4 linked regions of the Solanum lycopersicum genome follow. Each later gene encodes a partner of the first gene's protein in a complex. Links are inferred from orthologs where the notes say so. Each region holds a gene or a part of one and is shown on either strand. Other genes may lie near its edges. The genes, in order: transcription initiation factor TFIID subunit 15, transcription initiation factor TFIID subunit 5, transcription initiation factor TFIID subunit 10 and transcription initiation factor TFIID subunit 11.

What was found.
Region 2: transcription initiation factor TFIID subunit 15 (region 1) and transcription initiation factor TFIID subunit 5 share a complex: the UniProt entries of both Arabidopsis thaliana proteins name them as parts of the TFIID complex. The link is inferred for Solanum lycopersicum from reciprocal best matches to the Arabidopsis thaliana genes TAF15 and TAF5.
Region 3: transcription initiation factor TFIID subunit 15 (region 1) and transcription initiation factor TFIID subunit 10 share a complex: the UniProt entries of both Arabidopsis thaliana proteins name them as parts of the TFIID complex. The link is inferred for Solanum lycopersicum from reciprocal best matches to the Arabidopsis thaliana genes TAF15 and TAFII15.
Region 4: transcription initiation factor TFIID subunit 15 (region 1) and transcription initiation factor TFIID subunit 11 share a complex: the UniProt entries of both Arabidopsis thaliana proteins name them as parts of the TFIID complex. The link is inferred for Solanum lycopersicum from reciprocal best matches to the Arabidopsis thaliana genes TAF15 and TAF11.

The regions. Positions count from the first base shown.
Region 1 is NC_090810.1:45,840,946-45,848,980, forward strand, and holds the end of transcription initiation factor TFIID subunit 15, read left to right. Parts: intron 1-1,443; 5' UTR 1,444-1,492; coding exon 1,493-1,612; exon of another isoform or gene 1,613-1,628; intron 1,629-1,753; coding exon 1,754-2,118; intron 2,119-2,242; coding exon 2,243-2,440; intron 2,441-3,807; coding exon 3,808-3,891; intron 3,892-4,496; coding exon 4,497-4,578; intron 4,579-4,674; coding exon 4,675-4,804; intron 4,805-5,097; coding exon 5,098-5,291; 3' UTR 5,292-5,529; downstream 5,530-8,035. UniProt on the Arabidopsis thaliana protein: TAFs are components of the transcription factor IID (TFIID) complex that is essential for mediating regulation of RNA polymerase transcription.
Region 2 is NC_090805.1:43,573,853-43,582,206, forward strand, and holds the start of transcription initiation factor TFIID subunit 5, read left to right. Parts: upstream 1-4,222; 5' UTR 4,223-4,572; coding exon 4,573-4,763; intron 4,764-5,936; coding exon 5,937-6,018; intron 6,019-8,012; coding exon 8,013-8,091; intron 8,092-8,168; coding exon 8,169-8,266; intron 8,267-8,351; coding exon 8,352-8,354. UniProt on the Arabidopsis thaliana protein: TAFs are components of the transcription factor IID (TFIID) complex that is essential for mediating regulation of RNA polymerase transcription.
Region 3 is NC_090811.1:67,582,968-67,591,298, reverse strand, and holds transcription initiation factor TFIID subunit 10, read left to right. Parts: upstream 1-2,908; 5' UTR 2,909-3,280; coding exon 3,281-3,379; intron 3,380-3,458; coding exon 3,459-3,523; intron 3,524-4,638; coding exon 4,639-4,701; intron 4,702-5,843; coding exon 5,844-5,901; intron 5,902-5,963; coding exon 5,964-6,014; intron 6,015-6,258; coding exon 6,259-6,339; 3' UTR 6,340-6,606; downstream 6,607-8,331. Other genes in the region: protein GLUTAMINE DUMPER 2, read left to right, coding at 1,430-1,888; uncharacterized protein, read right to left, coding at 7,427-7,463. UniProt on the Arabidopsis thaliana protein: TAFs are components of the transcription factor IID (TFIID) complex that is essential for mediating regulation of RNA polymerase transcription.
Region 4 is NC_090804.1:5,056,509-5,063,194, forward strand, and holds part of transcription initiation factor TFIID subunit 11, read right to left. Parts: intron 6,056-6,686; 5' UTR 6,048-6,055; coding exon 5,731-6,047; intron 3,784-5,730; coding exon 3,696-3,783; intron 2,012-3,695; coding exon 1,912-2,011; intron 1,149-1,911; coding exon 1,021-1,148; 3' UTR 988-1,020; exon of another isoform or gene 659-987; intron 377-658; 3' UTR 1-376. UniProt on the Arabidopsis thaliana protein: TAFs are components of the transcription factor IID (TFIID) complex that is essential for mediating regulation of RNA polymerase transcription.

The sequences.
Region 1 (8,035 bases):
TACAGTAAAGTCTACTCTTTCTAGCCAGCCACTTCAATGAATTAATATTAATATCTTTTGCAGATACAGGTTGCAGAACCTCTTTAGAAGACCAAACTCATAACTCTCTAGTCTTTCCCAATCTTTGAGGTTTCTTCTAACTTCTAAGTTGTAGATGTTATCTAGTATTAGAGAAACAAACAGCCATCAGTTTATCATGCACTTCCTATTTAATGAAGTAGGGACCTCATTTTTTAGTATCACAATATCTAACTAGTGATCCAGTCAGAATCTGATGCATTTGCCGATTCCCACAACTCTGCTAGTAAAAGAGTTGAACTACCTTTAATAAGGATAAATATGCTTCCAAATAGTAGTTTCTATTAGTTATTAGTGATTTTAGGAGTCCACTGGTCCTCCTTGCCACATATGGTATTGATACTTTAGTTTTCATCTTTGAGTCTCCAAAGCCATTTGATTAGTAAGCTTTTGTTTTGAAGCCTGTTGTTCTGGTTATGGTGCATGTTTTTGTCAATGTTTAGCATGTCTTGCACTGTATTGTTCTCCATTTTTGAGCTATTGCAATGCTGGAACAAAGAGAGCAGGCTGTGCAAGAAATCCCCAAATACTTGGAATAGCATTCCTTGAGCCATTTGGTGGACTATATGGCTTGAAAGAAATAGCAGATTTTTTCTTAGGCAACTGAAGAATCAGACATACCCTTAAACAAAACTGTATACTTTTTTCGATCTTTTTAGTGCAAACTGGTTATTGAACATGATGAAGATGCTAGCCTAGATGCAATAGTGGATATGCTCAATGCCTCAAATCTCAATCTTTAGTTACATTTTGTGGCACTGACTTAGTGCAAGTACTTATAACATCATTGATAAGGAAAAAAATAGTGCGGGAGAGATATGAAGGATCATATAGCCAATACTAATTAGTTTGGGATGAAGACGTAGTTGATTGATTGATAAATCAGAGTTCCTGATAATTTTCTCAACTTGTTGCAAAAATTAACAGGCATCGACATGTGAAGGTCCCTAGTAGTGTTCTCAAATTGGGTATACTCGAAAGTATTGTATTCTACACGTGCTTTTAGCCCATTGACCTGAAATTCTATACTCATAAAGGACAATAACTACTTAGCTCTTTCCTTAATGTATTACAAGATTGCAGTAAGAAAACATTAACCAATTTCCAGCTGTTTTGGAAAATTTACTGCCAAGTGGCATTTGTCTCTAATCCCACCACTTAAAAGTTGGCTTCGTCCCAACTTCCTCCCTACACCCTATCTTATATAAAAAAAATTTCTTTAGTTATCTCTTCATTTCTTCTGGTTTGGTCCTTTGACTTGCACATACTCTGGTGCTTTTCTCAGTTTAATATGATTTGCCTGTAGTTACTTTTAAGGACAGGGGAACTGTGGCAGGACTAATACTAGGTTGTTGCTTTATGCAGTTCTTGGGGTTTTTATTGTGTCATTGGATTTGATGAAATTGGAGCATAAATGGCAAGCTATTCAGGGAAAGGATCTACATTAAATGGTTCTGTGTATGTCTGTAACTTGCCCCTTGGTACAGATGAAGATATGCTAGCTGAATATTTTGGCACAATAGGGGTGCTAAAGGTATGGTTGTGAACAGGTACTTCTAATTATGTTCGAGAATGTTTGTTATATGCTCTCTCCCACTTCCCCCTACTCTGCTTTGAACAGATCACTTTGATTTTTTTATTCTTTTCTAAGGATTTGTTTTGCTTCATGTTGTAGAAAGACAAACGAAGCGGTAGGCCCAAGATATGGTTATACCGTGATAAAGTTACTAATGAGCCCAAAGGCGATGCCACAGTCACATATGAAGACCCTCATGCTGCATTAGCTGCTGTTGAATGGTTCAATAACAAGGATTTTCATGGGTCAATGATTGGGGTATTTATTGCAGAGTCTAAGAACAAAGACGAGGCTTCCTATGTTTCAGTGAATCAAATTAGTGAGCCCAATCTGAACAGTGGTCTGGCTGTGCTGGATGAAGGCTCCAACGATATAGATGGAGGTGGCGGAAGAGGTAGGGGCAGGGGAGATGCTTCTGCAAAGGCATGGCAACAAGATGGTGACTGGCTGTGTCCAAATACAAGGTCTGTGATATGATCATTGGTGAGCAGCTCGTTCGTGCTCTACTGTATCTTCTTCAATTGTCTGTTTTTACTTCGAGTAGTCCAATATGTTTTTGTGCTTACAGTATTTGTAATTAATGTATAGCAGTTGCACTAATGTGAACTTTGCATTTCGTGGAGTTTGCAACCGCTGTGGAACTGCTCGGCCTGCTGGTGCTGGTGGCGGTGGGGCTGGAGCTGCTGGTCGCGGGAGAGGACGTGGTAGCCAGGACCCAGGCGCTCCTGGTCGTGCAGTTGGTGGTCCTCCAGGCCTCTTTGGTCCAAATGATTGGGCTTGTCCGATGTAAGAATCTTCATTTTCATTTTGCAACCTATTTTATTGAAATATGATACTCCCTATCCCAATTTATGAGACACATAACGGATTTCGACATTCAAACAAGTTTAGCTTTGACCGGAATTTTTTCATATACCTTTTAAATATTTTAAAATTGTCAATTATTGTAACTAATAGTACTTTCTACGTAGTTTACAAATGTATAAATTTCATTTTAAAAAAAATTGAAGATTCCATGAGCAAATTCTTGGTATAACTTAAACTGGTTGAATCTCAAAAAATGAAATGCGTCACATAAATTGGGACAGAGGGAGTATAATTTTTCACCCGTAAACTGCCTGAGCATATTCCCTGCACGCACTTCCATTTTCCTTATACCTTATCATAGAAAAACCATTCCGAGCATAATCAGACTTTGTATTCTCCTTATTGCACTAATCTTGAAGTTAGTCTAGTCTTCAGGTATCTGGTAGGTTTAAATTTGTGTTCTCCTATAAAGGCGTGCTTGTTAGAAATAGATACGGTTGGGTTTTACTGTACTCCTCTTTTTTTGGGTAAGTGACTTACCAGTACCTTTAACAACTACATTGGCTTTACTTGGATGTTGGGTACCTTCCCTAGATTACTTGGATGTTCTTTACCTAGTCGAAGATGACTCAAATATAAGTAATAGCTGGAGTCTTGTTGTCAGGGACTTGGTTTTGGTGTGATTCTTTTGTTTATGAGAGTGTACGGGTGGGTGCAGTTTTTGCCCAGAATATTTTTACCAAAACCTTTTAGATTGAAGAAACAAAATCCATCCGAGAAATGTAGGAATTGTTAACTCTGTCATTTTGCTTTAGTCTAGTTGTTTTAGTTGACTTTTAATCTCCAAGTATTTCATTCTACTTGAAAGCGATTCCAAGGTATAGAAAAGACCAATAAAGCTAGCAAATAGAAAATGTGCGTTGTTCAAGATCAGACAAACCAAGTGATTCTACTTCTGTTTTTTTCTCTTAATTCTTTATTATTACTTTAGTGTAAAATCAACCCTCAAGCGCCTACCAGGTAAAGGAATCTCAGCTATGTGACAAGTCAGCTCTTTGTGTTTAAATGATACACAAGGAATGAGGTTGGAGGGTTAAATGGAACAGGGTTGAGATGGATTGCTAAGATGAAAAGACAAAAATTGGGGCAAGTTAGAGGGGTTTCTATGTATTTGTCCTTGTATGACCATTAGAATCGTACTTGTCATTCTGAATTCAGTGTCACAGTGTCCAATATCATTTTAACTAGTCTGGAATGAATTGTTAATTGTTATTGATTGGCATTTATTATGTTTCCCTTTTTTAATAGGTTGACATTTTGCTATTTGTCTTTGACCTATTGTTCAGGTGTGCCAACATTAACTGGGCTAAGAGGAACAAGTGTAACATATGCAACACCAACAAGCCTGGGCACAATGAGGGTGGTGTGAGGTATGAATTACAGGATGCAGCATTGAATGCTTATTTAGATCTCTTAGAAGTGCTGTTGTTGTTTCCTGTTACCTCCTTTTTTTTAAAATGGAAGTGCCGCTGTTGTTTTCTGAGAAGCGCTCCCCTCTCCCGTTTTCCTTGTTGCTCTGCAACAATAGGATTTTAAAAGATGTTGCATTCCTAGCAACTGGAAAAGGAACAGAGGTGCACAAGACATGATGCTAGGTGGCACTTAATGTTGACGTTGGCTGTTGAAGCTACTGGTGATTTAGATTAATGTGCTACATGAATATTATCCAAGGAAAACTTCCTTATTTAGGATCTTGTGTATGGGACATGCTCATCAAGAAAAGTATAGCTGCATTATAGGCTTGTAATTGCAAAATTATTGTTTTTGTCAATCTTTTAGTCTTGTTATAATCATTAAGGGCAGGAAAACACATGGAAGCCACCCACCCTCACCCACACAAATTGCTGACATAGTTTTTTAATATAATTTATCGTTGCCTTTTATGGTTAGTAAGCATGTACTAAGTTTAATTTGATGTATTAAATAGTGTTTCTCTTAGGTATTAACTATGATCTACTTTTATTGTACTCTTCAGAGGAGGACGTGCTGGAGGTTATAAAGAACTCGATGAAGAAGAAATAGAGGAAACTAGACGTCGGAGGAGAGAGGCTGAAGAAGTAAGATAAAAATTGCAGAAGTTTATGAGTTCTATAGCTTATCCTGGGTATCATTCTGCTTCTGACTTTCTGGTGAAATCTTCATCTCAATTATAGGATGATGGTGAAATGTATGACGAGTTTGGAAATCTGAAGAAGAAGTTTCGCGCTAAAACACAGCGAGCAGAAGCAGCCCAGAGCCTCCCCCCTGGAGTAGGACGCGCTGGATGGGAAGCTGAGGAATTAGGTGAGGACAATAGTTTTGTTACATGTGTTGTCCATAATGCAGAATTTATGGTTTTATGCATCTTGCATTATTTCTCTTAAATGCAATATCTAGTGAGTCGAACTGTTTCATCTAGTAGACACTAGATCTACTAGATTGCTTAGATTGATCCTAGTCATCCTGTTTTGGGATCGATGAGCTGCTTTAGTCCTGAGCTTTAAAAGATTTCATAACGGAGTGCTGAGTGTTCTTGTGAGGTGTAATTAATCGAAGACCTACATGATCCTGATTCCGAGCACTCTTTAATTTTGCAGGGGTGGCGGAGCGAGATAGAAAGGAAAGAAGCAGAGAAAGATCAAGAGATTATGATGATAGGGAGAGAGCTAGGCATCGAAGCAGAAGTCGGGAAAGGGATAGGGGAAGAGATAGAGACCGCTCCTACGACTATGATCGAGACAGAGAATATGGTCGTGACCGCGACCGTGAGCGGAACAAGTATCGTCATTGAAGATTGCATGCGACCATTCCATCAAATATGGTATTCATCAAACTTTGTTTGTCTCATGTTTTTGTATGGGTGGCTACTCGTATGGCACCTTCTTAAGGTTGCTTCATTTCTGTCAGATTCATATGTCGACTTTTCGACTTAATCTTGGTCATTTTTTTTCACTCATATGTTGAATATTTGACGTGCATTTCGCAGCGTCTTTTGCCTTATTTGTACGTCCCTTTCTTTCTTTTTCTAAGGAGGCTATCACAATCTTTTCCTGTGCATCTTTAATTTCTTTCCATAGTTGAACTGTTAAGAGATTCTAGAATCAGTTTACTATACTCCTTGAAAATATGGAGGTAAGGGTGTGCTCTAGTGGTTGATGAAGTTGATTGAGGATCATGTGGTCTTAGGTTTATCCCAATAGAGACCACGCTAGATTCTTATCATTTGTTCTAGCCTTGGTGGACATAGTTACTCTACGCTTGTTGCTAGTGCTAGATATTTAGTGAAATTAATTAAGGTAAGCGAAAATTGACATGGATACGATTATGACGTGTGGGGGGGGGGGGGGGATCCATGTTCGATTGGGTCAATCAATTTTGGGTAGTTTGACCAAAATTAAGGGGGAAGTCTGGACAGTTCTAATAATTTGTAATTAATACAAAGCTAAGGTGAAGTGAAGAAAGGAATACCTTTTATATAGAAAATTTTATGGCGCTCATTTTCCTTTAATTTGCTTTCTTGATTCACCTGAAATTTTCCACATAATATCTGTGTGCAAGATATAGTGTATGACCTGCAACTGGGTACACTAGAAGTTTTCCTTCATAGTCTATGTTTGATAAATCTATTTTGACATTTTTAATTATTTTTTGATGAATTTTCACTCGCATTCATACATGGATTTATACCCATACCGAGTCCAAGCAACTTAGACATAAACACACATCCAAATTTGGCCTTAGCTCGTAGGTGAGCATTCCTATGTTGAGAGTATACATCTAAACACGTCAGGTTGGTCTTAATTGTTAAGTTATACTTTTAGGGGCTGTTTAGTTATTGGTTAGAGTTATGCAGGGGTTAATTATGCAGATATTAGTGATGTAGAAATTACAATATATGAATTAGGCTTAAGTCATTGACAATTCTTTAAAATTAGTCGCATAATTTACTTAGTCACTTTAACTAGGACTTGTACCTATTGAACACTTCTATCTATTTGGATTTAAGCCTTTTGAACACTTCTTTTGACGATCAACTAAAAGTATAAAATGTGTGTAATATGTAATGATGTGGAAAATTGTCAAATCAATGACATACATGTGGCATTTGGGGGAGGGGGGACGGGGGGAGAGAAAAATTGAAGTTATCAATCAAGCTACAGTTCAAGCAACTTTGTGTAATGTCTGATGAGGCCTTGAGAATTTTCACGAAGAGATAAATTTACTTTCAACCACAGTTGCCATCACCATAGCCTTCATCACCTTCAAATCCTCTTAATCCAATAAAAAAATTTCAGATCTGTTTTTTTTAGTTGAAAATAGCAAATTACATTTGATAAAAATTAAATTGCATTAACCTACAAAATATGAACCACTTATAATTTTAGATACCAATAAAATCATGACTACATAATCATCTAAGCAAAACATGGAGAAAGGAGGAAGGAGAGGTTATTTTTTTTTTTATTTTAAATCTGATTTATAAGATATATTTTTCAATAAGAAAAAAAGAATTGAAGAAGAAACATTGTAGTCATCGTGTGAGTCTCTATTTTTTTTTCCCGTAAATAAGATCGCAGTATCCAACAGACTTAAAGAAAGGTGGGGATGGTGGTGGTGATAACATCGGCGGCAACAATGGAGATGATATTGATTTCGATAGAAGTTATGGCTAAGGAAGAAGGAAAGAGATTTTTTTTAGAGAAAAACTAAAAATATGAGAGAAAAACTAAAAATATGATCTGATGCATTGAGTGAATGTGTATTACACCTTCCTTGTCATGTCAGCGAAAAATATCATATAGGTACTTATTCTGAACAATAAAAGTGTAATATGTACTAATCTTAGTAGAAGTGTTTAAATGAATTATGTCAACTTCAAAGGCCCATAAATGTCTTAAGTCAATTATTAACTTTTGAATATTAAACTTGTTGCAAATTATTAATATATATTATTTACAAATAATAATACATGCTAATAGAATGTGGAACATATAATGCTAATATTTGATTAGCATATGTACCATCAAAAAATATACAATCAAATTTTTAATATAAAAAATATTTATATTTGCATAAATAAATAAAAATTGTAAATACATTTTTAAAATAAAAATAAAAATGATCTAGATATAAAATGAAATACAAACGTAGATAAAAAACAGTAAAATTTTCAATTAAAAAAATAAATCAAATCAAAAGAAATAAAAATGATTCTATAAACGTAGATAGGAAAACGATTATGTTTCCAATAAAATAAAATAATAGGATAAATATGTAATTTATTATTTTAATACATGTATAATTAATATCCACATAACTTATTTCATTTTTTACCCTGCATAACTTTATATATAGATTCCTTCATAACTTATGTTGATATTAAATATGTAAGACTACAAAAAAATTTAATTAAACATCGTATAAATTAATACATTATAACTGTTATACAACATTAAAATTCTATCAACCAAATATGGTATAAGTTATGTTGACTTTTATACCTAATACAAAACTTTTACTAAACATAATAAATCT
Region 2 (8,354 bases), on another chromosome or scaffold:
TTGAAACGGAGTTAAGAAAAGAAAAAAGACTTTTTAATATTATGGTTCTAAATTAAAGTCATGTCAAATATATCAAAATGTCCTTTAATCTTATGTTTTAAACATGTCACGTGAAAAGTTAAAATTAAAATATTGTCAAAACAGGTAAGGAGTTATTCTTTTTTAAACAGACTAAAAAATAATAGGATAATTTTTTTAAAAAACGGAGAAAATATTTTTTATGATCAAATGGATTCAAAAAACAATAAATGTAACACAAACAAAGTACGAGATATAATAATTGTAAATTAGCTATCCTCTACATTTTTTTGTACGATGCAAATTAATTACTAGTGACATGAATTATTACTCCTAAAATTTGGTACAATTTGACACACCTAATTACAAGACGTACAAATAATTATGATATTTTTAGTATAATAATAATAATTCTGCCTCTAGTTCCACATGCACTTTACAAAAGATATACGTGCAATCAAGGTTTTAATATTGTTTCGTATTAAAATACCACCTTTCAATAATATGCTATTAGTACAAATACAATATTTACTGTTTGATTTTTTTTTCGAAATGATTTAATTTTTTAAAATTTTATTTCTTGACTTATAGAAGAAATATGCATGTTTAACAGTGTGTTATATGTATTTGCCACAAAAAAAATAGTATAATGTTATATATAATTTTATTTTTGTAAAATGATTGTAGAAATACAGGAGAATAAAAACAATTACAATTATTCTCTAACTTGTAAACACTTGCAAGTTCGACATAAAATTATCACTGGGTGTTGCTAGTTCAAATACAATACTTAGGTCCATTTTTACATGATTTCAAAATAATAATATAAAAATAGAATTATATTGATTTAAACTTGAAATTTTATTTAGATATGCAAGTTGGATTTCTCAAACATGAAAGTCCCACGATTTTCCAAAACTATCCTAACATCTCAATCCATTTTTACTTGTCTACTATATTAAAAGTAATTGTCTAACAATATTTGATCGATTTGAAAATTAAGAGATAATTTACCTTTTTTAAAAAAAATATTTTACCTTTACTATTAAATTTTTTTCAACATTTAATATATTTTTCAAAGTATTAAATTTTATATTCAAATGGTAATGTAGTATTATTACTCATGTTATATATTATTTCTAAATGTTTATATCAAGTCAATAGTAGATAACTATTGTTTGACAGAATGAGTATTATTAAAATTAACAGAATTATAGTTCATAAATAAGGTATCAAAGTATCCTAAGACGCCGCAGTAATAATCTCATGTCTCCACGTACGATGATTACATGTTATTACAAACTTTTAGATACATGTAATTTACAAAGATTCACTAGTTAACCTAAGTAGTAACTGAATACTCCATATGTCCCTAATTATTTGTTCACTTTCCTTTTTTTAGTTGTTCCTAATTATTTGTCTATTTTAACAAATCAAAAAATAAAAATTTATTTTACCTATTATACCTTCAATTAATTTCTTTGAAAAGATAGAATTTCTAGAAAATTTTAAAATTTAATTCATGCATTTCATAATTAATAGGATAAAATGGTAAAATCACTATATTAATAAATATTTTCTTAATAGACGTGTTAATTTAAAAATGAACAATTTAAGTAATTAAGAACGTGGGAAATAAAAAAATATATCTAAATTATCCCTTTTTTTAGTATCACGCGTAAATTATTATAAATGTAAGAAACACACTTAAACTATCACTCGTATGTGTTTGGTGTATGTATAGTGTATTGCACGCACTATCTTTTTTTAACCAAAGAAAAAAAAGTTTGCGACTTTGAAAAAACAATTCCGTTAAATAAGTTTATAAAAGATTAAAATGAAAGTGGGCTGTTGATAAATATAGAAGTAAAAGGATAATATAAGAAGAATGAGGAATAAATTTCTTGTCTTTTACGTTTACGTGCGAAGACTTCTTTTTTTTTTTCATTAATTTTATTTATTTACTAGTATTCTTTATTAATTAAAAAAAATTGACTCTCATTCATCATAATTAACTCTTTAAGTATTTTTATTTTCTCCGGTACTAATTATTAATTTCTTGATATGAGTGTTGCCTGTTTATTCTTTATCAATTAATAAGTATTGAATTATGAACGTAATATAAATATTATCAAGATTATATTTAAATAGTAGCTTTAAAAAAATATATTCCCTTCGTTACATTTTATGTGACACAATTTCCTTTTGGTCAGCCTCCCCTCCCCCCCCCCCTCCCCAAAAAAAGAATCACATTTTCTTATATATGGTAAGTATTTAAATGTATAATTCATTTTTTACTCTTGTTGGTCCCATTTAATTTTAAAGATGGTACATAATACATTTATGAGGAGAGAGAAAATTGAGTTGACTTTTTTGAATGACAATTTAACAAATATTTCAAAGTCTTCATTATTTCTTAAACTATGTGTCCGGTCAAATGTTGTCACATAAAATGGGACGGAGGGAGTACAAGTTTAAAACTGATGAATATTATTATTAGAGTTCTTTTAATTTAACGATTCTTTCAATCCTTACCGACATTCTTGATAAGTAAGATGATTAGATTGAAACTAAAATTTGTATTCTCTTGGTTATATATTTGTAACACGACATAAAGTCAATGGAATATGAATATATTAAGTTAACACTATGTTTATGCAAGCTCAAATTTTGGTGTAAAAAAACTGTTTTTCCTCAAAGTTTCAGCAAATAAGGCCACCAATTCCTAAAAAAGAAATAAAATTTGAATTGTTTAGTTATCGCTGGAGGTTTGCTGATGTATTCGAGATCTATAAGTTTAAGAGATTTTTGTAATTTAATTTGAAAAAAAAATAGAAATAAGATGTAATTAGCTCGTAGTACTATGTAATTCGTGCAACTTTTATAATAAACAATCATTTTATACATTTCCTCAAATAATTATTGTTTAATTATCATCATCATATTTAAGACTTTTGAATTAAATAAAGTCCTTATTTGATTTAAGTAAGAATTTATGATATTTAAACTTCTAAATTAATTACCATTTTACCTTTTATAGTCAAACTTTACCAAAAAAATACAGCTGTTTCGTCTACATCAACATTTTTTTCATTTAGGTTTTGATTCAGGTTGCCTTCTTGCATTTGTTATCATCATCCTTCATTCAGGTTTCGATTCAGGTCTACCCCTTTTGAACAATTTCTTGTGTTTCTATTTCAGTTGAAAATTTGGAGAGAAGAAGCATGTCGCAGCCGCCGAAAAGATCAAATTAAATCTATCATGCAGGACAAATCAAAGGTTTATCTCTTTTCTTTTTCCACCAATCTTTTTCTACGGAAATGGTGGTTCTTTGATTGCCGCAAGATTTACTCCTTTTAAATACATTCGATAGTTTTTCTGCCATTTAAAATGTAACAATATATAACATTATTATCATAGTAATTTTTGTTAATTTGATTATTGCTCTTTTTTCTCTCTCTCTAAATGTTTTCTTAGACTACAAGTATTTGTAATAAATATTTATTTTATTATATTTGATTATAGTTAAAATAAAACAGATAAAAAGATCAAATAAGTAAATGATTTATATACGACGTGGCGTTGAATGCAAATACAAAAGAAAGAGAATGGAATAATAATTGACATTCTTTTTTGGTCAATAGAATTTAAAAGATTAATCATTTTTTTTTTTTTGAATGTGAGGAGTTTCTGATTAGCCAACAATCCACCCTATAAGCACAGTTCATGTTACCATCACTTGATGAAATTTACATTTAAGGCTAGGTGACGCCTTCTTATCACATAAGACTCTGAAAATAAAACTTCCACTTTCTCAATCTCATATCAATACGTTGGGTGTTACTTGTCAATCTTTCCGTTTTTAGATAATACATCCAAAATACTTGAAACTATCTCTCTTTTGGATGACTAGTATATCAAGTCTCACTTCTCCACATCAGCCTCATGCACCACATTGTTAAATTTGTACTTTGAGTATCCAATTTTAGTCATGTCCTCAGCCCGAATCATTCACTGTAAAGTCTATTTATAAATCTCTATGTGAACGTTAACTCCGTCGCTAGTCTCACCAATCAAAATTATATTATCTGCAAATAACATATACTGTGACACCCCACCTTAGATCTGCCATATTAATACATTTTTTAAATATTAATTCTTAGTAGTATTTCAAATATACATGATTATATACTATTGTCTCACCGGTTCACATTAGCATAAAAAAGTTTGCATCTTTTGACTCTAGTTTGTTGTGATAATCTTTGATTTTTGCTTCCGAAGATAAATAAATTTCTCACAAAATAATATATTATGTCCTTAAAAAACTTATTCTTCACTAAGCATATGGGTCCATTTAAAGGGCAAATCTTGTGATTAAGAGAGAAATTGGAGCCTAACCAAAAAAATATAAAACAAAACACCTTCCATAAACAAAGTGACGACGACGTCGTATTAAGTCCCTCCAGAAACCCCAAATCAAAATTCTCGGTCCTATAAACCCCAGGTGTTTTCTTCTTCTTCTTCCCAATTCTCAAAATCTTACCATTTCTCGCCATGGATGAAGAAGAGATTGAGAAAGCAGTCGTAGCGTATTTGAAGAAGAAGGGTTTCAAGCAAACGGAGATTGCTTTTCAAGAAGAACAGCAAGTGAATAAAAACAGTTCTTCTTCAATCCATAATAACAACAACTCAGCAAATTCTCAGATTGACCCCGACTTAACCAAAAAAATCCTTTCTTTCTCTGAGTAAGTTTCTTTTTTCCACTTAATTTGATGTAAAAATTACTGTTTGGCTAAGAGGATTAAGTTCTAAAATCAATTTACCTTGAAAGATAGTTTAATTTCAATGAAACACGTTTAAGTAGAGAAGGATTGAGTACAGAAGATCTGAAAACTAGTTTAGGGTTGAGAGGTGACTTGGTTGTTGGAAGAAAAGCAGGAGCAATATAATTGAAGCAGTTTTTCTGCACCCTCCAGTAGCATTTCTGCAAATGCCCAAATTGACCCTGAACCGTCAGACAAAAATAATCTGTTCTCTGTAGATAACATAAATTTAATTACTGGACCCATTCTAAAGAGGGAGAAATCAGCACTACTTGGTGAAATAGGTTCTTTTTGAATCAATTGTCCTCTTCTCCTGTATTTTAAATGCAGAGTGCTTAGCCATGAGGTTGCGGTTCTAAATAGCATTGACAATGCCCAGAACCACTTTTGAGGTACTAGCACACTGTCTAGGAATTGGAAAGAGAGGATCAAAGGAAATTTGGCGGAAGAATATCCCTGTTTGTATCTGGTGGACGTTATGAAAAAAAAAGGAATGAGAGATATTATGAAGGGAAGGGTAGCAGCACACAGAAGATCAAGATGAGATCTCTTAGTATTATATTTTTTTGGTGTAAGCAAGATTTAGTGGGGACAATAGATAGCTTAGTGGAGATTATAGGCCAACTGTAAATTTTTGAAAGTTTGTTTTTGGATTTTGAGTATGATGGCATCCCCTGGGGTTTGTAAATTCCTCCTCATCAGTCTGATGAGTTCTTTTGTGCGGATTTAAGTTACCTATTTCAAAATAAATAAATAAATAGAGGGGATGTAGAGGAGGATTTATGAGCTGACCCAAAGTCTCAAACTGTTTAGGATTGAGGCTTCATTAGTTGTTTCAAGAAGGGAAGCAACAATAATTGTGTGTTTGGTATGGAGGAAGCTTTGGTGTTATTTTACATTCTATTAGTGACATTACACTTTGGAGCTTCCTACTTTTAGAATATTACAGATATAGATGGATAGATGTTATGGCTCCGTTTTCACACCGCCTTACACTAGCTGGAAGTCTTGACAGCTGTATAACGCATACTTTCTGGTTATTTTCTTAGCATGCATCTTTGATATCATTCTGAATCTAAATTTTTATGTTTTCAGATTTGAAACCAGTCCCCAACGATACCAAGAAGAATATAGCAAACTTCGGTCATGGGCCTATAGTTCACTGGATCTGTATAAGGTTGGTCCCCTGACTTGTGCTAACAGTAACATGAGAAGTAGTTTATGCAGTATCATGATGCATAGCTCCTCATGACATGTAATGCACTAATAATAGGTCTGCCACCAGTAACACCATAGGAAATAAACATAAATGGAAAGGAAAGGCTTTCATTTTCTCTTTTATTTAGCCCTTTTTAATCCTTAACATAATGTATTAGTGATGTGCACCTTGACCTATTAATACTTCTGCTGCTGTCTTTCTGGCAGTGACAAGGTCTTCAAAATTGAGTTCTCATATTTGTGATTCTCAACTCTAGTTCATTGACTTATGCTATAAATGTAGCACCAGTGATGGATTTAGTACTGTCTTCTACCATTGCGATCATAATAGCGAGCCAAAAATAGCTCTTCATAACATAAGCATGACAAGCGTGCCGTCTTCATACAAGTTAGGTTGTGTGATTATACAAGCCAGATGAAAAAGTGATGAAAATGGTTCCATATGTTTGGTAGGTTCAAGTTGGTCCCTTAATACTCTTGAACAATTTTGGTCCTTTAAGTTCACCAAAAGCGAAAACACCCTTTGGGGGGGGGGGCAGTGGTTTGGGCTTGGGGCTTCCATTTTGGAGGTTTCAAGTTCGAAACCCCTTGCTAGCAAAAGCAAGGGTCCAGTTTAGAAAATCAAGAGATAATTTACCTTTTGTGTCCTTTGTTATTAAATACTATTTATCATCTAACACATTTTCCAGAGCATTAAATTTAATAAAGTCAAAGGATAAAATAGTAATGTTACCGCTATTATTTATTGTTTCTTAAGGGTGTGCTAAGTCAATAGTAGACAACTATTGTTGGACCAAGGGAGTAACATCTATAGTTTCAACGTTTGCCAGCTTGCTAATTTTGGTTTATTTTTGGAGGATGGTGCAGCTTTTGAAGTGCAATTTTGCCATCTTTTAATATCTATTGTGTGGTATATGGTTCAATTTTTGGTGTTGCAATTTTCAAGATAGGACAGGACTTTTTGGTGTTTTTGGTTGGATAGTTATTTTGACCATTCCGATGAAGTCTACCCATTCAAGTTCTGTTTAAAAAAAAAAAGGGTCCAACCACTTGAGTTCTGTTTCAAAAAAAAAAGTCTTAACCATCCGAGTTTGTTAAATATTTGTCAGAGACCAAATGCTCACTTTTGGCAAACTTAGAAAACCCAAATTGTTGGGGGGTATATTGAAGGACCACCTTGAACCTATACTCAAACATAAGGAGCCATTTTTTCTCTCTCTCCAAGTTAGACACTTCCTTTTGACTTACTCTTTAATCTTCAAGATTTTGTGGTTTCCTGTAATAGCTGAAGCTACCTTCCATTTATTTTTGTCCATTTCTGTCTACCTTGTCTCAGTCCATTCCAGATTGCCTCTCTCTTTCTATTGGAATTGAAGGATGTGCTGTGTGCATCTGGATTTTCTCCAATTCCAACATAATCTGATATTGATTGAAAAGAGGGAAGTTAAGCTAGCTAACGAAGGGGTTGGGATCCGCCTCGCCCTTAAAGATCCGCCCCTCGTTTCACTCTGAAAATTTATTATCAGCTCCTTCTGTTATTTAGCCATCTCTCTCCATAAAATTCTTTCACGTACATGAAAGTTATTTCATATCCTAGAGAGTGCGGTTGTATTGTCTCTCTAAAGAATCGTAGGATCCATTGGAGATAAAATGAAACAATTTTAAATGCCGAGTGTTCTGTTTCCTTTTTTTCCTTTGGTCGTTTCTCTTTCTGCAGTGCTGTTACTGCTTAGAATACCTTTCGGTTCGCAGAAATGATGTGCAAACTTTGTTGTTTCCAACAGTTTGGCCATTGTATATATTGGGGTTGTTAAGTCTTTCTCTTTTATAGTATGCGTGACTCATTTAAAATCATCTTATATTATGTTGATTATTGTTATCCTCTTTTATTTGTTAGATGAGATTATTGTTATTATTGATTCATCTGAACATATATATATTTCAATCTTGCAGCATGAGTTGCTTCGTGTTTTATATCCTGTATTTATTCATTGTTTCATGGAACTTGTCGCTAGAGGTTATATTCAAGAAGGTATACTTTGTCAGTTATGTTTTGGTTGTATTTTGATATTTGTGAGAGAATTTTTAACACAATTCTTTTATTTCCAGCACGAGCCTTTTTCAATAGTTACCGTGAAGACCATGAGATGACGCATCTGCGTGATCTTCAGAAGTTAGAAGGCGTCCTCTCACCTTCCCATCTAGAGGTACATCAATATCCTAGCAACTGTGTGGATGACCTTTTCCATGCTTAAGTGTGTCATAGATCACTAAACTTATTCCGAAATGCAGGAA
Region 3 (8,331 bases), on another chromosome or scaffold:
GGCACAACATATGTATCAATTATCATCTATCAATATCTCTCACAAATTTGATTCCACATTAAGTCAATAGTGTTTGTTTAAATGGAACAAATTATGGATGGTTCAATAATTTAATAGAAAAATAACATAGTTGAGTTATCCGAGGGAAAAACCCGAACAATTTTAGGAATCTATTTATGCATTTGGTCTTGATATAAACATCATGTGCAAATAAATTTTTATCAATAACCATTTGGCGTAGCAAAATTACTTGCTTTTTGTATTTTTATTTTACGTGGTATAATATGATTTGACATAAAATTTAACAGAAAAAATAACTTAATAATTTTTCAACACTAATTATCAACGTTTAATTATTAATATCATCTCTAAGCTTAGTTGATAAGTATGAGATAATGATACTTTAGTTCATAAAGAATTATAATGATACGATCACTTTACTCCACTAATGACATTTTTAATTCTCTTCTTTGCTCAATGATTATTGCTGCTTTACTCATAAGCTTGAGTGTTTTTCCCACTTAGTATCTATAGCAATAATTCAAACGAAAGATTTGTTTATTTTACCATTAAAACAACGTTGTTAATGAGATGAATGCGATCTTTTTATTTTTTATTAATCGAGTCGAACGAGTTACTAATATACTTTAATATATATTTCGTGAGATTGAAAGCACCTCAAAAAGGCTAAGGATGTCATGGCATTTCTATCTTACTTTTTCATACACCATGTGAAACGAATCCAGATTAATCGAATCACCAAACATCAACATATGAAATGAATATTATTAGTATAAAAAGTACAAAAATTTCCTACATTTAGAGGCTAATTACATTTTACTTCGAAACTTTTCCTAATTACAGAAATTCTAAATTTTTCATTATTCTTAGATACATTCTGTGTTTGTCCGATACATTGCAAATGATACTTTACTTAACGAGAGGATATCCGAATATGAATTTTTATAATTTTTTAAAAACAAGAAATTTCAAAGATAACAATATATCATACTATCTCCGTCCATCTTTTAATTGTCTTAATTTCCTTTTTCAAAGTCAAACGATAATAACTTTAACTAATATTTTACGATATATTTTTACATCACAATGATATGCAAAAAAGAAAATTTGAAATTTATAATAATTTTGGTAAATTTTTTTCTTCTCATTAAATTTTATGATTCCCTATTGATCACTTCACCCTTCTTTTTAACTTACTTTTTCTCTTTTCACTATTCATCCACTAAATTTGTTTCATATAAATACACACATATACCATCTTTGCATTTCTCAAGCCAAGCTAAGTTTTATTTTTCTTATTTTCTTTGTTCTAAAAGTTTAATATTCGTTTCGCTCGCAAAAAATTTAATAAATTTTTCTATCGAAAAAATAAAATATTAGACATTTCATCTTCGAAAATAAAATAAAAATGCGAACAGTAAGTACCTTTACTACTGCTTCTCCATCAGTCTCTCCATCGGCGATTGTTCAAAAATCGCCATGGCATTCGCCGGCGCCGTATCTATTCGCCGGCGTAGCGTCCATGCTAGTGTTAATAACTTTTGCTTTAGTAATCCTAGCTTGTTCTTACTGGAGACGATCCGGCTATCCGAGAGAAAACGGCGATGTAGAATCCGGCGACGGCGAGAAATCGACCGGTGATGTTTTCAAGGCGTCGCCGGTTTTTGAGGAGAAAATAGTTGTGATAATGGCTGGAGATTTGAATCCAACTTTTTTGGCTACGCCTATTTCGAGTAGAGGTAATTCGTTTGGTGCTGGTGATAAAATTGAGAAGAAATTGGAAAAGGAAACTGAAGAATTTGATGATGAGAAGGCGAAAGATGAAGCTATGGATCAAGCTCATGAAGAATCTCAAATCGGCCATTGATGAAGCTACTGAGCTTTGAAAAAAAAAAAACAGAGCAATTTTCTCTATTTTTTTTTTTGAGTTCTTCCATTTTTGGTTTAATTTTTCAATTTTGAGATTCGGGAAATTGTACTCAATTTTGGTTGAGATAACAAAGAGTTAGAAAAAATTTTCGTTTTCGAGTAATATGTTTTCACGGAAATTGTTACTTCGATTTGATACGTGTTTTATTAGCTAACGATAATCATAAGAGTCATTTTGCTAAAAAATAAATAGATCGTTTTTAAATTTTTCAATGAAAAAAGTAAAATTGATGATATATTTTTAATATAATGAATGAAAAGAGTAGAATCAATTATATATCGATTTAGAAAATGAATTATTTGAAGAATCTCGAATGTATGTGCATATGTGACGTTTGCGATTTTATATCTATTGTGATTTACTAATTATATTTGATAATTTATAGTAATTAAATATGATTTAAAAATCATGCTTATTCATGCAATTTATAGGTCGTATCTATCGAATATGATATATAGTTAATCTATAAATTGAGTTACTATTAATATGTAATTTATAAATTATATTTATCTAATATAACTTTCAAATGATGCAAATCAAATGTGATATTAGTCATATTTGTGAAACATGATTTATAATCGTGCTTACCAAATCATTCAAGTACCAATTAAGTTACTCAATTGTATTGTAATTAAATTAGTTATCAAATAATATCCAAATTGTTTACTCAATAATAATATAATTCATTTTAATCTTCTATGATAGAGAAGAATAAAATGGCTAACATAAGTGATTATGAGTGTGTGTATATATATATATATATATACTTCAATGTAAATTTTAATTGCGTTTGGTTTGATAGAGAATAAAATAATTTAATTATATTTTTATTTTATAATTTTTTTAAATGTTATGAACTATCAAATTTAAAAAATAAAATAAAATATAATTTTTTTTTTTACGAAATATTATCGTTAGCTAGGTAAATATATATGCCCCTCTTCGCGAACGAATTTCACATAACAAAAATACAATTCTCCTCTATCTTAGGCCTTTTCTCATTTTTTTTCTTTTTTGCACAATTGTGGAGAAACAATTTTGAATTTTAAAAAATAATCAAAATTATAATATTTCTATATCCTAGAAGGAAAATAATATTACTTTTTCAATATGTGAGTTTAAAAATAATTTTTATATATATTTTTAAATATTTTAAATTATCGTAACCATAGTAATTTTACTTACCTATTACTAGAATATTTTTCTTCAGTTTCTTCTTCCGATTTTTTTCTCAAAGTAAAAAGGCACAAATCTTCCCCAATTTTCCTCCGGCGAAATTGAAACTCCGACCACCGCCGATCCTCCGTTGACTCTGTTTCGACGGTGAAGATGAACCAAAGTCAAGGTCAACAAACAAGTGAAGGAAGACACGAGGATGATGCTGTTCTAGCCGATTTCCTTGCTTCCTTGATGGACTATACTCCCACTGTGAGCTACTTTTTGCCCTTTTTCTTACTGAAGAGATCAATTTTATGTTTTATTTATGTAGGTTAACGCTTTTGATCAGATTCCTGATGAATTGGTGGAGCATTACTTGGGTAAAAGTGGATTTCAATGTCCTGATGTTCGATTGTATGTATTTTCTTCCCATTCTTATGTTGATGTTTCTGCAATTTAGCCTGCTTAGATTAGTTATAGAAAAATTGTTTGGATTGCTCATAAGGAAGATATGATTTTCGTGTGTTTATCTAGAACTATTTTCACTAGGTTTATCCTCTGTCTTGAGCTAACCGTAGTCTTTAAACTCGAATACGATGAACGCGCTCCTCAACCTACGTTTATTTTGCTTGGCGTAGCGAAAGCTCTACACTTTTGCCAAGTGAGCTAAGCCCTGGGGGTTCAAAGGGAGATATTATGTTACTGCAGCAAACAAATAAATTGGGCAAAGGTGCCCATATAATGATGTAAAATCCAGCTTGGGAGGATGTCCTCCCAAGATATTTCCTTCAACGAAGTAATAGAAAACTTAGCTGAATTATGTGCTAGTTTTGTTTAGACTTCTCGGAATATGAACAAAGTCTACATGATCAAGCAAGCTCTTAGCTTCCAAATGTCTTCACAAGTCACCTCTATCTCCCATGAGGTAGTTAACTTTTTCCTGAATCATAATCAATAACACTCTTTGCTTCCAATAGGATTCTCACATCCTTCCAATTGTTCCTGATTGTACGTTCAAGAGCCACTCTTAAAGCAAGTGCTTCAACAGTCATAGCTTTTCCCGCAAACTGGATTGGGGAAACATGGGCATGAATCAGTTTTCCAAGGCTTTCCAGAGCTGCAACACCAATATTTGCCAGTCCAGTATCCACCTGTAAACCTGCATCAGTAAACAATAATATAACATCTTGGTGGGTTGTTGGTGGAGCCGCAAGGCAATACCCATTTTTATGAAAATTAGATGAGCAATTAGCTGAATATCTTTATACTCGTAGCAATCAAACAGTGACTAAGCGGCAGTATTCTCTAGTTCCGTTTTTGTTTTGATCGTTTTCTATTTATCTGGTTTAGCAGTAAATTCAAGTAAAATTTATATATCTGTGAATTGGATTGGTATTTACCTTTTTACAAGTTGTAAATTTTAATATTGTAGCATTTGATGTTTTGTTTGACAGTGATGGCTGGTTTATCTTATGTTATCAGTTTTTAATACTGTGTTGTTGTATTGAGTTTTTCCTTTGGATATGCAGAATAAGGTTGGTGGCAGTTGCTACTCAGAAGTTTATTGCAGATGTGGCTACTGATGCTCTCCAGTATGTTTCTTAATTATTTTATTTTTCTTGAATTCTGTTTCCTCCTCCATCTTATGTTAAGTATGCTGCTAATTCTTCGGCATATTGCTCATCGATTGTCCCCTACTCTTGAGGCTTCAATGCAATTGTTGCCTGTCTAGGTGTTTGTCATTGTATGATCCTTCCAACTTTTAAGTGTTCAAGTTGTTCTCCTCCCCCAAACCTTAAAAAAACTCTTTTTGGTTCGTCTCTAATGAATTAGAAACATTAAGTTGGTAATTTTAGAATCCAAGCCTGTTATATTTTTAAAGACTGCCGACCCTAACTTGACTACACTACCAAAAATACAACACCTGAAATTCTCTATTGTTAGCGCAATAATACTACTACCTCAGGAGATTATTGTGTCTGTGACACTCCAAAACCTTAGAAAAGAGACAAAGAAACAGAAAAATACAATATAAAGAAACTAAGATATGACTTGAGTAGACATGTAGAAAGACCTTGTTTCAGAATATATGATTACAAATAACAAAGCATCCAACTTTCTCTGAACTTCCTTTCTTAATGTTTCCAATGGATTGTTATTTTCCTAATGCTTCTACTGGATTGTGGTAGATCTTCTCAACTGTGACAAATCAGTTGTGTTTTGTTTCGTTATCGACTCAAGATTTTGTGAATGCCTCACTTTACTCACTATTTTGCCTTCACTAGTCGTAATGAAAGTAAAACTCATGAAATGCTGTGAGTCTTTTGAGGATAGATTATGGCTTTATCATCGGAAGAAAGAATAAGAGTTTATGAATGGTCTCTTATGTATCCTTCATGTTTAGAAAGAAATGGATATTTATGAAACGGGCCATTCCAATAGAGAAACAACATAATGCCAGTGGTTGAAAGCAGGCAGGTCGATGAAAGTTAGGATATATCAGGAGCAAGGGGTATCTCCATTGGTATTCTGTGTAGAGACTAGAAATATGGTTGAGACAACAAGATGGCAGTGGTTGAAGGAAGGAAAGTTGATGACTTGTGGGTAGACCAGGATAAAGACACCCTCATTTTTTGTGTTGAGACAAAATATAGTTGAATTTTGAAATTCTTGTTAATGTCTTGGAAACCGAGCTTATATTAGATTAACTTTCTTATTTTTCATGGTAATGCAGACATTGCAAGGCAAGGCAGTCAACTATTGTCAAGGACAAGAGAGATAAGCAGCAAAAGGTGCTTCACTTTTTTCTCTTTTCATTTTCTTATGTTTATTGGTTCTAACTCTGTTTTAGCAGGACAAACGCCTTACCTTGACAATGGATGATCTTTCAAAATCTCTACGAGAGGTAATCATTCTTTGCTGGCCTATCAAAAAATAATAAAAAGTTATTCATCATTATAATTTCATCTTATTTATTCTATAAATAGTCTGCTGTATAATGCTTTTGACCAATCGAGTGGTCCATCCTTGTAGAACCTCTCTTGTTTCTTCTTCTCCAAAAGGCTGTTCTTGCGTTGCCAATATTTTTATCACTTCAGCGATACTTTTTGCATATGAGTGTTCTCCGTAACCTTTGATTTGCATTGCAGTATGGTGTTAACGTCAAACATCAAGACTACTTTGCTGATAGCCCGTCTGCCGGGTTAGATCCTGCTTCAAGAGAGGAATGATGTAATGCCTGCTAACAAATCTCTGTGATCACATAAATCTGATGGTTTTAGGTCATTGCGTTGTTGTCATCCTCTTGATTTCTCAAAAGCTATATATCTGTTGGAGGATACAACTCTTGACTACTATGTATCTCTATACTTACCAATGTTAACTGTAGTTGCCACCATTGATAGATTTCTCGTTTCGATATTCCTTTCATGGTAGCAATGAGGGTGATGTTGATAACTGGTTTGAATGTTTAAATTTGCTTTGAACTTGTTGATGAATGTGCTCTACATGTTTGGTTGTGTCTATTTCTGATGGAATACACTATTGTGGTAGCTGAAACATGACGGCTACACGAGTAGCTCTGGCTGAATATTTTATGTATCGTGAACGACACTTCAATAAATGATCCTTCCAAACAAGGTAATGAGCTTATCGCGAAATGTCTCTTCTATTTGCATCGAAATGAAGACCATTCACCAAAATGAGCATCAATATCCATCATCATAGTGAACAAAATGCAATATTCACAATATTCACAAAATAGCAAGTTAATATTTACTCCTTTTTTGGAAATTTCTAAAGGATCTATAGCAGTTGCAGTCTACAAAAACATAAACGATAAAATCCATTACAGAAGTTAAAAAATTGTCTAAAGACTATCTATGAAGCCTTCACTATATAACGCGCAAGCATCAAACTTACAATCGTTTGCACCACAACTAAACGAAGAGATTTAACCTTTCCCTTCTCATACCGTGGGCGCTAGTCCACCATGAACACAAACACTTGATAAGTAATTGCTAGGTTTTCAGGTGAATGAACGATACGCTCCAGTCTTTCCAGTAGATCCTTTATTACCTAGCAAAAAAAAACCCAGTAAGAACGATCTAGTTACTGGAGCAACGGGAAGCATGGATTGCACCATCGTATTTGAGGGGAACCATTAAAGGATGGAACGGGGGAGGTCCCGATCCTTTTACAGGTGCAAGCGAGATCTAGTGTTGTTTCCTGCAATATCTTCAAGGAAAAAAATCCATGTCTAATAGAACATGATGTGGGGTGGTGATGGTGGTGGAGGATTTCAATTGAAGTACTTACCTAATTGTCATAGAAGCGGGAACGTCTTCTCCGAGAACTGTGCCACAAAGGAAGCATGAAAAAAGATAAGAAGTTGTGAATCAGATTGAACATTAACAACATTAGACACTATCAACAAGAATATATCTAGCGTAATCCCACGAGCGGGGTCAGAGGAGGGTGGTGTGTACGCAGCTCTACCCCTACCTTGTGAAGGTAAAGAGGTTGTTTCTGATGAACTCCCGGCTCAAGTAAAGCATAGTAAAATCAAGAATGAAAAGGACGATATAATAATGGAGCAATCATGTTGAACATAAACGGCAGCAACAATAAATAATATGGGCAACCGAAGCAAAGGAAACAAAATGTAATAATTGAATCAAAGAACAAGATAGTATGCGAGTGCGACTAATAACAAACACTACTGAAAGTGGAGACTACACAACACTCAACTACAAATAAACTTTTACCCTAGTCCTCGACCTCCATATCTTCCTGACTAGGATCATGTCCTCGGTAAGCTCTGCAAGTGTCCCATGTCCTGTCTAACACCTCTTCCCCAAATTGGTGAACTACTGTTAGATTAGTAACTGGTTCAGTATTGAAAGGTTATCACTGTATCATCCTACTGTTATATCGTCAGGTATAACCATAACAAATGACGGACAGTCAAATGTTTCCGTTGAACACGATTTATGAGGCCAAAGAAGGTTAGCACTTGACTGAAAAACTCAGAGAAGTTTATAAGAATCATAGAAAGAATATCTAATGCATCAAAAGTGTGAATAATCTGCTCAGAAAAGATATAACGTGGGGTGCAGTTAGTTTGATCCTCTCTTCACAAGAAGCAACCCAGGGGGGCGGGGGAATCACAACTACAGAAGGGAATACTGAGTCATTAATCTTAGAGCATGCCGCAATAAAAG
Region 4 (6,686 bases), on another chromosome or scaffold:
ATGCCACTTAACTCGATCTGTTTTTTCCAAACATTTTCTACTATTTTCATAATTTCATGTATCCTAAGTATGCCCTTCTGGAAAAAGGGAAAAATGATGGCAACAGCTGAAACTCAATGTACCAACACCAAAAACTACACAGTTAAGAAACAATTTGTTCAGGATCTTCGTCCTGCCAATCCTTTCGTCAAGGTGAGAGCTCTCTTCCCACCATGGCTGATGCCCCTCGAAATTTACTTCTTTAATGGAACCCCAACATTTCAAAGAGAAGCTAAAGCCTCACCTTGTAAAGGTACACCTCATGAATCTTTTCGTCCAAGATTTACAAGTTCATCCTTACGCCTTTCTGCGAGGAAAGTGGCTGACTACTACAAATCTGAGAGAATGGAGAACAAGGGATGAGAAACATTGTAAAAACTTAAGAGCGTGAACAAATGATTTTGAAAATGAACGACAACGTCCACAGTTAGAATTAAAGAGAAGAACAATCAAACTGATCTGAATTATCTTTTGGTTTCTTTTCTACTTGATAAAGTTTAGGACCGTTGTGATGCCTCCTCCACACAACATGGTGAAGAAGCATTGTTGTCCCGTCACTCCAATTTTCTCTTTCATCCAAGTGCATTGAGAAATTCACAACATGGTCAACAAACTCGACCATGGTCACAATGATGATTTGCCCAAAAATACAATGATGCTGTTATTTTAGCCAAGATGTTGCAATCTTAGTGTTCTCCTTCCATCATTTTCAGTTCCAGGTTACGGGCAGTACAAATATTTTCACAAATGTTAAACTCCTTCCCTCTAATTAAGTAATTTAATTAACAGATTAACCCCATATATAATAGGCAATGCAAAAGTGTCCTAACTCGACAACTTTGTGACTAGCAATGTTTACTTGACCTGGAAGTGCAAGATAATTAAGGATTTGCGACAATTCAACATAGACACATTAGAGGACTTGTAAGCAATAGGAAGACAATGAACCTGAAATATAACTACAGGTTGCTTCCACGTTCACTACCGGAAAAGCCTTGGCACTGATTTTTTTGGAATCTTGCCTTCAAGTTTTAACCTTCTATATGCTTCTCTTATGTGGCATGGCCTGATTGGGCCAGTATCTTTTCTCTCTGCCATCACCATTTTAGCTGCAAAAGGTATTGTAAGATGAGTGAGCACCATTACTTGGAGAAAATCAATGCAGTATAGCCCTTCAACTTTATTTAACTGAGGACACTTCCACCTTGAAACACTAAAGATTGGCAACTCTTTACTGCATAATTAGACTGGAAATTGGTTAAACGTGTTCACCTAGGTTTACGAAATATTCAGTTGATTCTATCGATCTTTTGAAGAAGGGAAAGGAAAAGCAGAGAAACAATGTGACAGTGAGCTTTTACAGGTAGAGGGTAACAGAGACCACTAGGAACAAAGGAGGGCAGTGCCTGGGCCAACACTGAGGCAGGAGAGTCATTTTATTGTTCTTGCTAAAAAGTCCTATGTTTTCCCTAGTTATAGTGCCAAACATCCTTAACCAGTCAGACACGTCAAATGCAATTTCAGACACATTGGCGGGTGCTTACTTAGCATAGGTACGATGTGTGAGTACATAGAAGACATTTTAGAGCCACTCTTTTGTTACTTTAAAGGGGTAAAGTGTTCCAAATGAATGTTAACCAACATGCTCAGTAACGGATAATATTACTGGTCTTGGGCTTTTAATGCCTCATTGTTGCAAATTGGTCAGAAACTGATTATAGTTTGGCAAATATTTTGGAGCTGTGCACTAGTGTCTAAGAATAGAACGAAAATAAGATCATTCCAACGACAAGTCATCCTTGCTATTCCCAAATAAAGGATAAACGTTTGCTTCATCAATTATCTCTATAACAAGTGGATCTGTCTATTTACCTGTTTCAATAAGCTCACCGACAAACATTTTTGCTATCCCAGACACCACAATTGTCATAGGAATAGATATCTTTGCACTTCCTGTGATGTTGGTCAGCAACTGCATCGACAACACACAAGAGTCACGACAAAAAATAAATTATGCACAATAAATGATCAGACTGGAAAAGCAAATATCTCAATGGCCCTAAGGCTTGCACAAGATCCTCACATATTCACAAAGATTTGGCTTCATTCTCAATCATCTGACAGTTACGCGTCTATTGAGAAAATGAATTCTAACATTACATGTGTGCAATGAAAGACAAAAAGAATGTGCTTCAATAGGCTAATGTTAGGGATTGGTCCAATATCACGTAACAAGGCCATCTCAAGTCAAACAACAACAATATACCCAATCTGGGAAAGCAAGAACTGAAAATTACAAACCAAAACTTTAAAACTATACAAAAGAAAATGAAACCCCACCACAGCATTTCTCATGGGTCTCCTCAGAACTCCCAGAAGCTTCTTTTTCAGATACAGCAGAAGCTATCTAAGACACTACTCTAGCATCTCTTTTATCCTGTTTCCACTTCAACCCAGATTATAAAAGTCCATTCATGATGTGATTCCTCAGAAAGAAAGTACTTCTAAGACAGACCCTATTGGCACTAACACTCCCCAATACAAAAGAAGGGTTGTAAGGCACTGAAGCCATAGGAACAGCCGAGCAAAGGTCAAAAATCCTGGTTACTACAAGGCCATTAGCTAAACTATTTGAGAAAGATCCAAAAGGATTTTGGTGGTACTATGAATATATTTACTGTGGTTTTTGTTTGTTTGTGTGTATGTGGATAAAGGGTTGATTGGGAAGAGAGAAGTTGGGGCAAGAATTATTCAGGGTTCATGTAGAAAAAAAAAAGATTGGAGAAAAGGGTTTAAGGGGGATGGCAGAGGTTTCTGGAAGTAAACATACAATTGGGAGTTTCCCATCTTAACTCAAACAAATCATATCAAATTATGTATGGAAAAGTACAAGAGAAGACAAGTTAACATCTCAATGGCCACAAGATCACAATAAAGGGACAAGATTATTCTATTCACATGTATTTTCAACAATTTTCTATCATGTTCTTGTTCTGATATTATATTTTTACTGAAAAACAACACTATTTGCTTAAATGGCTAAATGTTAGGTACAGAAGAAATCCAAGAGAAAAAAGCCCTATTAATTCAAAACAAATCAAACCAAAACTAGCATGAGGCTGCAGTAAGAGAATTTCCAAATAGAAGTCCTCTCATACAGGAGAGTAAGAGATTAGGAAAATTACTATATCAGGAAATTTGTGAGTATCAGACATGAATACATCGTGAGTATCAGCGATGAATACAAGGAAATTGATGTGGTTTACTGGGTATAGGGTTTTATCTCAGACACCAGTCTATCATCTACATTCCATTTCTTGAAAAGGGCAGCTGAGTTCACCAAGCTCCCACTATGCACAGGGCCGGGGCAAGGCCGGACCATATTGATTGGAAAGCCACACTAGAGGATCAGTTGATAGAGAAATTTCTGCCCATTTTCTCAGTATAACCTTTTTTGCCAACTCCCTTCCCAGCTCAAGCAAACAAAAAGCAACACGCACATGAATAACGAAACAAACACAACAGACAAGCTACAGTAGAGGAGAAAACAACTCTGACATCATCTATAGTACTTTGTCTATAATAGTACAGATCATATTCAGAACATGCAAAAAGCAGGAAAAAGATGATAAAATGGGTAGGATGGCAAAACATACCCGCTTCATGTTGGATTTCTGAAATCCAGATCTCCTAAAAGATTCATATCTACTCATCTGCTCCTCTGTAAATTGGGATAAGATGGACCTGAAAGAGAAGATAACAAAGTGAACTAATAGTTATTGGACTGATGTAGCTGTGGGGTATGGTCACTGCCTCTGCAGAGAGCGTCTAACTAGATCTAGCTCAAATCCAAAGTTAAATCTTCTACAGTAACAGGAGAAGCCACCCAGGTGAGGGCTACACAACCATCCTTTTTTAATAAAGTCCTGCTTTGTTTGGATATAGCTATTCGACAGCTGTGTGTGAGACAACAACATACCCAGTGTAATCCCAGAAGTGGGGTTAAGGAAGGGTGATGTGTACAAGTTCACCCCTACCTTGAGAAGGTACAGAGACTCTTTCTAATAGACCCTCGGCTCAAGTACGACTATTTTGGTGCGAGTTGCCCATCCCTTAATAGGGAGGTACTGGTGGTACATAGCAGCCACCACTGATCGGGTATAAGAGAAAAATGGCAAATGGTTTTTCTATTTTCTAGTGGAAGTAGGAGATACAGCTAAAGAAAGGGCTAGGCTGCAGCAATTCAAGCATCTAAAAATACATATGTGATAATTGCTTCATATCAGAGATTCTACTTTACTTGTGAATGACATCTGAAATCACAACCTTCAACTCCCATAGCTTCATAATTATTCTCTTGTTTTTTTTTCTTCTTTTGGGATGAAAGCATCCATCACCCTATAACTGTTATTGAAACAGGAGACATTTCGGGTTCGAATGACGAGGAATATTTTGAAAATGTATGTTGCACCAGAGAAGTTCGATCTCTTTTTATGCTTTCACATATTTGGAAGGAATGGGAAATAGATAGCAAATAAAGTTTGACAACATAGAATAACAAGTACGAGACTTGAGAAGCCAAATGTCTACCTCCCTTCACCTACCTTACCTCAAAAGGAATTTTACCTCTTTTCTTGTAGTGTCATAGAACCTCTATTAATACCAGGTAGAGCGCTGCTGATTATAGGATAGAAAAATATTCTAAACTGAGCTCACGTAAAAACGAGGTGCAGACCCTAGATAGGAAGGCCTGGAGGTCGAGCATTAGAGTAGAAATTTAGTAGGTAGCCGCGTGTGGTCGCCCGTTTGGTGGGAGAGGCAATGCCATATCCTCTTCTCCTTATTAGTAGTAGTATTTAGTAACTCGCATAGTTTCTTATTTTTCTATGTGTTTCTACTATTTGTTGCTTCATTTTGCTATGTGTCCTGATATTTTGTTTTCATGTTTTCTTATTGCAACCCTTCAATGAATAGCTTCCCTTTTAAGCCAGGGATGTATCCAAACAACCTCTCTATCCCACAAAGGTAGGGGTAGGGTCTCCGTGCATCTTACCCTCCCAGAACCCACTTATGGGATTATACTAGGTATATTGTTGTTTAACAAGGAGGTGCAGAAGAAAAACTTTAGCATAACAAGTATATATATAACTGCAATGTACAATTCCCATTTTATTGGCCTTGACCACAATATGGTTTCTTCCATACTAAATTAGTTATTCTCCATATTGCCCTTACTTAACAATGCTGATACAAAATGTCAATTTATTATTTAACAGCTACTATATTTCCTACTGGTGTTTATCTGCAGTAAATCAAGCATATCAAGCTAGATGAGATCTGTTCACAGATCTCAATAGAAGCATTGACCTGCTGGTTATATATACATACTTTTTGTTAAAAAAAAAATGATACAGCAGATATACTGAGGGAATACAGCATACAAAAGAGAGTTAAATTAATAGTCTGAGTAACAAATCAACAAGGAAAGAAAGGAAGGTGAGAGGAAGGGATAGAAATCATCAGAAAAGGAGTTATTCTTTTATGCAAATTGATCAGTAGGCAGGTCCAACCACCCACATAAGCTATCACAGAACAGGATAATAGCATACAATCTTGACAATCTTCTGTGAATGGAATCCTTGTAAACAGAAAGAGTTCGAGATATTTGAAAACATAAACTGACAAACTTACTGCATCTTCGCCAGTTTGTCAGGATCACTACTTGATGAGAGTTTTCCTAACTGCACATCCATGCTTTCTTCCTCTTCCTCCTCATCTTCCTCTTTGGGTTTGCTAATTGGACCAGCAGTACTAACAGAGACTGATGTAGCTTTAGATGTTGAAGGTTTTTCACGAGAATCGGTATTAACATCGTCACCTTCATTCATATTAACACCAACTGCACCTTGATCTTGGCCTTCATTCTCATCGGTTCCAGCAGGGGATTCAGGGGGTGAGTCATCCTGCTCCTCAAAAGTAGCCTCAAAAGGATCCTTAGATCGCTTCATAGAATTCGCTGCACCAGAATGTTTAGATTCAAGTAAATTATTCACCATGCTAATCATTCATCCATTTTGATTGAGATATACCAACTTCCAACACAATAATGTGATATGTTCAAGACAATTTTTTAGGGAGGCATGGTAAATTATAACTAGATTGATTTGGACCTCACAAAATGGCCACACTCTCCAACCAGGTCGATTGATAAATTAATGGAGTTGAACTGATGCAGCTCAGATATTCTCAAATCAAATGATCATTGCAAGGATGAAAAAGATTAAAGCATTCGGAAGGAAGGAAAGTAAAGATAAGGATGAAGCAACAATGTCAAAGAAACATTGTTGAAGTTTGAACTAGAAGCTACACCATCCTTCAATATGTCTAGATTAAGATAAAAATGAAATATAGAAGACAAATACTGTACTATTTCATGTTATCAGTTTCAACAAAAAAACAATGTACTATTTCAAGTGAGACCAAAAGGTTAAGTAGTTGTCTACTTGCGCTGGTACATTTTTTGTTATATAACTGCAGTTATTGCCCTGTTAAATTTTCATCAACGAAGCAATGATAAGATATCCTCTCTTCTTTTTCATAACCGATAGGATCCTGCAGTCTGTTGTGGTGTATAATGGGCTCATTCC